Oryzias latipes: one gene and its partner. The protein of the gene in region 2 purifies or fractionates together with the protein of the main gene of each other region. This does not show direct contact. Links are inferred from orthologs where the notes say so. Each region holds a gene or a part of one and is shown on either strand. Other genes may lie near its edges. The genes, in order: sympk and bsg.

Evidence for each region.
Region 1: the proteins of bsg (region 2) and sympk purify together in Homo sapiens (co-immunoprecipitation; 3 studies listed by BioGRID and IntAct, counting the BioPlex papers as one, with this or other methods). This does not show direct contact. The link is inferred for Oryzias latipes from reciprocal best matches to the Homo sapiens genes BSG and SYMPK.

What each region holds. Positions count from the first base shown.
Region 1 is NC_019879.2:16,691,169-16,695,548, reverse strand, and holds the start of sympk (symplekin), read left to right. Parts: upstream 1-1,334; 5' UTR 1,335-1,598; intron 1,599-1,805; 5' UTR 1,806-1,843; coding exon 1,844-1,906; intron 1,907-2,366; coding exon 2,367-2,432; intron 2,433-2,543; coding exon 2,544-2,597; intron 2,598-2,695; coding exon 2,696-2,769; intron 2,770-2,865; coding exon 2,866-2,992; intron 2,993-3,089; coding exon 3,090-3,339; intron 3,340-3,448; coding exon 3,449-3,619; intron 3,620-3,706; coding exon 3,707-3,946; intron 3,947-4,380. Other genes in the region: slc35f5 (solute carrier family 35 member F5), read right to left, coding at 142-283, 1,054-1,112. UniProt on the Homo sapiens protein: Scaffold protein that functions as a component of a multimolecular complex involved in histone mRNA 3'-end processing. Specific component of the tight junction (TJ) plaque, but might not be an exclusively junctional component. May have a house-keeping rule.
Region 2 is NC_019862.2:7,112,523-7,117,091, reverse strand, and holds the start of bsg (basigin), read right to left. Parts: upstream 2,847-4,569; 5' UTR 2,700-2,846; coding exon 2,636-2,699; intron 965-2,635; coding exon 614-964; intron 1-613.

The DNA of each region.
Region 1 (4,380 bases), on a different chromosome or scaffold from region 2:
TTGACTGATTCGAACTTAAACTACTCTAATTCCTGTAAGACTTTGTTAAGATACTGTGAGGACGTTCTTGTGTGTTTGTCTCAGTAGAGTTTTGTTACACACTAAATGACAACCCACAGACAGCTGACAGACTGTCCTTACTGAGGTTAGCTCGGAGGAAGCCACCCAGATGACATCCACCAGAAGGAGTATCACCACCCCTAAGGCCATCCTCCTCCGCTGGGCTGTAGAGCTTCCCTGAGAGCTCATCCGGTTCATGATGAAAACCCACTCCATTGAGACCCTATAACAGACACATGACATAGAGGGGAAAACGAATATGATATTTTTTCCCTCTTTTTATTCTACTGTATGCTTTGCTGGAGGGACAAGGCAACAATGCCACTGTACATTGCTCTAAAGGTACAATTTATAAGAATATACCATGACAGATTCATATAGACTTTTAAGACAAGGTAAAAATGAAAAAAAGTTCCTTAAGACTGGGAAACCAGTCAAAGGCCTTTCCTACAGGTTTTTCCAATGAAGACCGTGGTTAACTTAACTAACACGTTGCAGGAAATACGCTTGTAAAGCATCACTAACAACAATACTCATAAACGCGTGTTACAAGTGATGATGTGCGTGTTTTCTACTAGACCTCCGCCTCTTTAAACAAAAATTCTGTTGCATGTTCATGTGGCAATGAATGTAAAACATAAGTGGTCCCAATGAGAATCAAAACTATGAGCACGAAACCGTCTGCAATTTAAAGATGTAAAATTAACTGATTTATTACGATACGACGTTCTGTATATTAAAAACAAAATAAGCACAGTTTTTACTAGCTGTATCCAAAACAAGCTTCGCAGTGGTACGTTTTAGCTGCCTGTTTTCCAAGCTAACTAAGAGCTAGTAAAATGTCCTACAAACAAAGTAACAAAAGCAATAACAGCGGCGTGTTCACCCGAATGCGAGGCGTATTCATTCACTTTTCTTCATTAGTTGATGTCCGATTGATCTTTTACATTACTGTTTCTAAAAAACAACACGTTTTAAACGAGAATATTTTACCACTCCAGCGGTTGTAAACATAAGCACTTCCTTGTCTTGTTATTAGCATCAGGTGACATCACTTATCCCGCTAAGCCTCATGGGACTTGTAGTTAAATGGTGATCGATTAAAAACATTTGAAATGTGTCTATGGCACATATTTTGTTTCCCATGTGATGTAAACAATACTAGTGTTCTTATTAATAGTTAAAAAATAAATAAACAAAAATAGCTTAGAGGCACACAAATCCAGCAGGAGGCGCTGCTTTTATTTGAGTATCCGAAAACAGCCGAAGAAGAACCGTACCATAGCTTCTTCGATGAAATATGGCGGTAGCTTTGTTTGCTTGCTAGCAAAGTTAATTCATATATTTAATAAGTACTAAAACAAGGCAAATCTTGTTGTCTAATAGATCATATTTGTAATTACCCGTTTAATACAAGAGTTAGTGTATCTATAACGCAGTTGGCTTAGTAAAGTAGATTATTATTTTATCGTTTTGGCTAACCTAATGTTACGAGCTAACTAACTGGATTCATTCTCATCATTCTGGTAATCGTGTAGGTAAGTTAGAAAAAAATACTGACTTGCGTATTGAAATTTGTTTATTTAAGTATTATCAATTGAATATGTGTTTCTGTAATACATACGAATGTTTGTAGTCTGACTTAAAACGTTCAGTAATTTGAATTAAAATATAGATGTTATGCGTAATTCTCGTATTGTTATGTATGCTCTAAATTATTATTATTATTTCTGTTTTCCTTTCAGGATCATGCAAGATTATTACTGACTGGAACATCAGCAACATGGACATTTCTTCTAAGGCGGAGGACACTCCGAAAGGGGTCGATATGACCACCAGTGAAAAGGTCTGTACAATTAGCACAAGATGAAAGATTTGTTTACAATCTCAGGGACAACAACACAATCTGGAGGTAGCAGACTTTAAAACAGAAATATTTTAATCTGAAATTGTTCATATAAAGCATTTTAAGTCTTAAAATATACATCTAGAAACACAACAAATCATTAAATGCTTTTTGTGTGATGCAAGTTAAATCTTGATCTTGCTATCTAAACATTCTTTATTTTTTAATCTGCCATCGATTTTGTTCTGATAAATTGCAATATATAAGAAATATTTACAATTGCTGCAGTTTAATCTAAATGGGGCTGTAGTCTACATTTGCAGTTGTCTGGGGTTAATAGCTAAGAACACCTCATTTGGCTCAAACATGCTATATAGTAGAAATTATGCTAATATTTTTTGGCTGGTTAGCCTCTTATTGTAGCGTTGTAGAGACTTACTCTGGTTCTTTCTTTTCTCAGGTGGTGGAGCTTCTGAATCAAGCTTCTCTCATACCCACTGATGAAAAGCTGACTGCTCTCAAACAGGTTGGTAGTGTAAATCTGTGCAGTTTAGATGACTGCTACACAGCAGCACCGACTGAGGTGCTGATGAGGTGGTTGTAAGAATTTGAAGTCACGCGTTTGAATTTCCTTTAGGTTCAAGAGCTCATCATCAACAAGGATCCGTCCCTTCTTGACAACTTTTTGGATGTAAGTAAGCACCTGCCTTTCATGGCAAAGGAATGGTAAGCGTGTAAGTTAAAATCGGCCCAGTCATGTTCTTGTATCTTGCCAATTCTATTTTACAGGAAATAATAGCGTTTCAGACCGACAAATCAATAGAAGTGAAAAAGTTTGTCATTGGATTTATAGAGGAAGCATGGTTAGTTGTTTGTGTCAACATTTTACATCTTATACACTTTTAAATGTATGTATATTTATTGAAACTCTTTTTTTTTTATATCTATTTCCCAACTAGTAAAAGGGACAATGAGCTCCTTGTTAGACTTATCGCCAATCTAAACATGCTGCTGAAGGATGAAAGTGTAAATGTGGTGAAGAAAGCCATTCTGACACTCACTCAGCTCTATAAAGTAACATTACAGGTATGCACCTTAAAGTCACTCGCATAATTTCCTGCTAAAATAATAGGAATACGGTGTTTTTATGTTCCCACATCTTCTGTTGTTTCTTTTCTGCCAGTGGTTGGTCAGCTCAAAAACACTGTCAGAAATGCAGGAGGCATGCTGGGACTTGATCACTCAAATGAAAGGGGAAGTGTTGGCCTTGCTGGACTCCGACAATGATGGTGTTCGCACACACAGCATCAAATTCACAGAATCTTTAATCATCACTCTCTCGCCGCGGACACCTGACTCTGATGTACCCAAACGCCAGGATGCTGACATTAGCCTTGACAAAGTTCCCAAAGACCATTCGTACATTCACTACGGTAAAGATTTTAGAACTCTCTTTTTTTTTTCTTTTTTTTTTTTTTAAACAGGCATGTTAAAATCTTTCTTACTGCAGGATAGATTTATTACATTCTGTTGAATCAACAGGTACTTTGTGTGAAGAAGGAAAGAGTGCACTGGAAAAGCTCTTAAAATTCATGGTCCACCCAGCTATATCCAGCATTAACCTCACCACTGCATTGGGTTCTTTGGCAACGATTGCCCGTCAAAGACCAATGTTCATGTCAGAGGTGGTGCAAGCATATGAGACCCTCCACGGTGAGTGCTTCTTAGTCAAAAAAATATATATTATCCCCTTAACATTATTATTAAGGTGCAATCATTAATATTTATCTTTTTTTCTAGCTAACCTTCCCCCCACTCTGGCCAAATCTCAGGTTAGCAGTGTTCGAAAAAACTTAAAGCTGCACTTGGTGGCAGTTCTCAAACATCCGTGCAGTGTGGAGTTCCAGGGTCAGATCAGCACTTTGCTGCTGGATCTGGGAATGCCTCAGACTGAGATAACTCGAAACACTCCTGTACCACGAGAGCCTCGCAAGAGGCCTCGCTATGAGCAATACACAGAGGGAAAGAAGGTCAAGATTGGTGAGTAGTTCACCACAAAAATGCAGACTGCCTTAGAAAATAACATTTTTATAAAAAAAAAACAGTCTTTAAAGGACTTGTTGAAAGATTACGAGTGTTTGTTTTCTTGCCATCACTTGCAGAGGCTGTAACTTTGCTTTACTTAGTTTTTCTTTCTGCACAGGTTAGTCTCTATTGCAGCAGCATCACACCCAGAGATTCTTTAGATTACTGTGTGGTGACTCTGTAGTTTTAGATTGACTAATAGAAATAGAATTTTAGATTCAAAATTTTAGGTTATTCTTGCTCTTTTCTTAATTCCCCCACGGTTTATATTTTAATGTTTCATTTTGTGCTATCAGTGTGGATTATAAATTCACTATGGATTTGTTTTAATTTGTGACAACAATTACAGACATTTTTTGAATTTAAAACATATTTTGGGTACTCCGATC
Region 2 (4,569 bases):
CCAATCAGACCCGTCGACGCATCCGAAAGCAACTAAAACGTCCCGTCATTGGTCAATTAGGCCGGGAAGACGAGAGATGGCCACGACCATAGAGGAAGCGATCTGCGGAGAAATATAGAAAATAAAGCTAAAATTAGCTGATTTCAGACCATTTTTTAATCCGGAAAGCGATTTGTCCGTAGAGATCAGGTCTTTATTTCCCGGAAAGTACGTTCGGTTTGCTCAAAAACCCGGATTTCCGGGAATTCCCGGAAGACTTTCATCACTGAAACTGCCAAATTTCCACCTCAGTCCAGTGTTTCATAGATTTTATTTATGGAAAAAGATATAAAAATTTGTAGGAAGGGTTACTTAAGGCATCAGGTTGAAGGAAGAAAACGTTCGCGTCGGGTGATAAAGGATCAGCCAGAACAGGTTTTTTGGCCACTTTCACCTTCTACAGGAGAGCTGTTGTGCTTTTGGAGAGGGGAGAACACACTAGATGAAGGGAAGGGAGGGAACTGGACCAGACAACAGGACAGTTGTGTGGACAGGATCTAAGAGGTCCACAACTTCACTAATGCAGATATGACCACTCTGACCCGACTCTCCTCGGGGTTCTTCTGTCACTCACTTTCAATCACAATAATGTTTGCCTGCGAGCGGATCCACTTGATTTTTGGAGTCTTCTTCAGATCATTGCGGTCGGGGTCGTTGGAGGCACGACACTCGTACGTGCCCGTGTCCTCAAGGGAAAGTCTGGTGAGGTGAATGGTGCTTGCGGCGTGTTCGATATATGTGGCGTTGATTTTTACACGGTTGTTATGAGCCCCATCAAACAGCTGGGTGAAAGTCTCGTTGGACTCTTCCCCTTCAACAAACCACCACTGAACTTCTGGTATGGGGTACCCTATCACCTCACAATGCAGCTCTGCACTGGCATCGATCAGTTTCATTTGAGACAGGGGGGATCGGATAAAACCCGCTGATTAGCAGCAGACCCAGCAAGCAGATGAATTTAGAAAGTGATGAGTTCAAATGGGCGGATGATAAAAATGAAATGTTAGGGAAGAAAAAGAATACAGAAAGAGAAAGAAAAAATGTTAAAATGAAAATATGACAGCAGACAGATGAATAAGGAAATTTTATCACATTGACTGATTCATCTGACTAAATTTGGAATGATCAAAGCAGACATCAATATAGGATAAATAAATAAAAAACAGATAATTATGGTAATGAGCACAAAGAGCTTGATGATCATCCCTAAAATATATATGACAAGAATGGTAGCAACAGAGCATTCACTCAATGACTAAACAAAAAGGTAAACAGAGAAAAATGTAGGAAGCACATTTACTGAGCTGGACCGAGGAACTTAAAGTAGGTTAACAGGATTGTTCATCAACTGAATGGGGGCTCTGTTTGGAGCATATCTGAGCGTGGAGACTGCAGACGACACATTCTGGTTTATAATTAAATATTTTGAAGATGAGGCTGCAGAAAACATCATCTGAGATCTGAGTGAAAGGTTTGAGAACAACAGAAAATGAGGGGAGGAGCTCAGTCTGCAGAGCGTGACCACATTCCTGTGTGGGGATTAATAAGAAAACCAAGTCATCTGCTGACGAATCTCATCTTTGGGGCAAAACAGACAAACTGGAGCTGTTGAGAGGGTGTGGTAATGCTGGTTATTGTCTTAACACCCCCCATTCAACAAACTACACTTGTAATGGCTTCCTGCTGTTGAAAGGTCACCTTCACAGCAAAGGCTTTTTTTAAAAGTTCAAATTAAATATAGCCCACACAACATTCACTCCTCAATCTTGACAATGCCATTTATAACAAAGCTTTATTTAGATATGCCGTGTAAAAAAAAAAAAAATCTCCTACCAGAGAGCAGCAGACTTCGTTTATCCAGGTTTAACTTTAAAGGAGAATGCTTCAGATGCTAGTTTTGTGCCTAACACTGCAAACTATTAAAAGATAGGGTGCCCGATGAAGAATTACGGTTCTTTTCCTAGTTTAAATAATGAAAATGTTAACCAGAGTACCAAACGGACACAGATTGATCCTCTGGGAAAAACACGAACGTTTTGTTTGTTTGGATCGGTTTTCGTTCGGACATGAGTCGGGAGTCCGAGAACACCTCCCCGGACGCCGGTGGAGGAGCGCGCGAGACAAATACCGCGTGACCGTCGTCCTTAATATGCCGCTTTCATCGAATCCACAGCGAATGGTCGCCATTTAATAACGATAATCACTTCAAACATTACGCAATTACGAATACACCGGACGCTCACGTGATACCAAACATGTTGGTGTTAAATATTCCATGTACCACATAGGCCATTACGTAAGGCATTCTGACAACAAAATACATCTAAAATTCATTTTAATCAACAAACAGACAGAAAATTTTTCTGGGTCGCCAACAACAACTAGCTAATGTCTTGCTAGCCGAAACGTCGATTTTATAGAACCGGTCTCTAGGGAACAATGTGTCCAAACCGTACAGCCCCACGGTGGGGATTCTACAGGTTTAATACAGATGTCTAGCTGGTATAACATCGGAAATTTAAACTGCTAAAGTCAGAAAAAAACATGAAATGTTAGCGGTAGGGCAAAGTCAACATGGCCGACATGACTTTTTTACCTGTGGCGGCGTTAGCGCGACAACAGCCCAGAAGGAGGGCGGTGACGGCCCACAAGAACTTCATGGTCTACTGCGGAAACTCTAGTCCGACCAAAGAATCGAGACGGTCGGTCAGCTCAGCCTCCTTCCACAGTGAGTCTAACGTCCAACGGGCAGAGCCGGCAGACCACTCCGCAGACTTCGTCCTCTCCTATGACTTAACGGACACGCCCTTACCAGCACGTATGCGTGACGTCATCATAGTGGGTGTGGCTTTGAAATCCTATAAGTTTCGTGTTTTTGCCTTTTTTTTGTTTGTGTAAGCGAACCATACATATTTGTTCTATTTGTGTTGAATAATAAAGTTTATTAAAAAAAATAAAACAAGCGAACCGTAGACCCTGGAAACTGTCAGGCGAGGTTAAACCGCGGCGTTCAGATTGAAGGCTTCAGAACAAATCAAGTTTAAAACCTTTGAAAGACCCACTCCGATGAAAATTGTGTTTTAACATGCTCTTATAGTATTTTTCTGATGACGAAGGACGCATAGAAAGAAAATTAAGATTAGAATTGCAGTGCTGAGTATTTTGTTTTGTTCTTGTTTCAAATCGTTGTGAATCAACAGCAGGCGAGAAAAAAGCAGTTGAAAAAAAATTGTGTTGACGTAGAAAATACGCTGGGCACGCCACAAGCTGGACTACATGGTAGTGTAGTGGCTCTCGCCTCATATCTAGAAGGCCCCGTTTGAATCCCGGTTGTGACCTTTCTGTGTGGAGTTAGCATGCTCTCCCCGCGCATGCGTGGGTTTTCTCCAATTTTCTCTCACAGTCCACACTGGTTAATTGTTTCCTCTAAGGCAGGGGTGTCAGAATTCAGCCCTCGAGGGACGGTGTCCAACATGGTTTCCATCCAACTTGTCAGTGAAGCTTCAAATTGGCTAAACACACCTGATACAGGTTAATCAGTAGCAGATAAGGCAGGATTTCTGGAATACTAGCAGCAGACCAGCCCTCCATACCAGGGGTTTGATACCCCTGGGGGGAATTCCAGAAAGCATGTTTAAACTATCCTGACTTTAATCCTGAACTCTGGCTGAAATCCGCCTGAACTTGCTTACTCTGGGTATGTCGGTTCCAAAAGACCGGATATGAGTTGGCGTAATTACGCTTGACTTGGTAACCCTGGGTTAACGCACGTGCACGTCAAGTACATAAAGTCATTCTCAATGGATCGCCGATTTCCGGAGTCACCATGGAAAGGCGTGGAGAAAAAAAAGAGAGCGCTGTACTTCAGTGAGACGGAGTCTGAGATTTTACTGACGGCGTATGAAGATTATTATACGTCCATCAATAAATTAATACGGCTGCATCAGCAAAAGAAAGAGTTTCTGCTTGGAGAAAAAGAATGGACAAAGTAAACACAAGAGTTTCTGATCTAATTTTCATTGTGACGCATATATAACTTATCCAACTTAAATTAATTCAATTGGTTACAAGTAATTGAGTTAAATTTATTCAACCTAATTTCTTACGTCTATCCAACTCAATATTTTTTTACAACTCAAATTTACATTTTTATCTAACTAAATGTAATATTACTCCAATTCAAATAATAATCTTCATTTATTGTAATTCTTGAACTCTCAAATGTCTAAATTTGAGCCTGCAGATATACTCATTTTTATAACAATAAAATGAATGAAAAAAATACATATAAATCACAAGGAATATTCATGCCTCTGAATTATTCGTTACACCGCGACAAAGTAGGGGTGCTATATAAACTCATCATCCTCTCCCTCCCTCTCACTCATGGTGCAGAAAGGATTCAATATAACAGTACAAATAACTGTGCAAAACAGCTAAACAACTAAACACATTTGGTCAAAAATCAACACTCAAACCCAAATCCGTCCAGACAGGCAAAGGGAATGGTATCCCACAATCCCTTGCGGT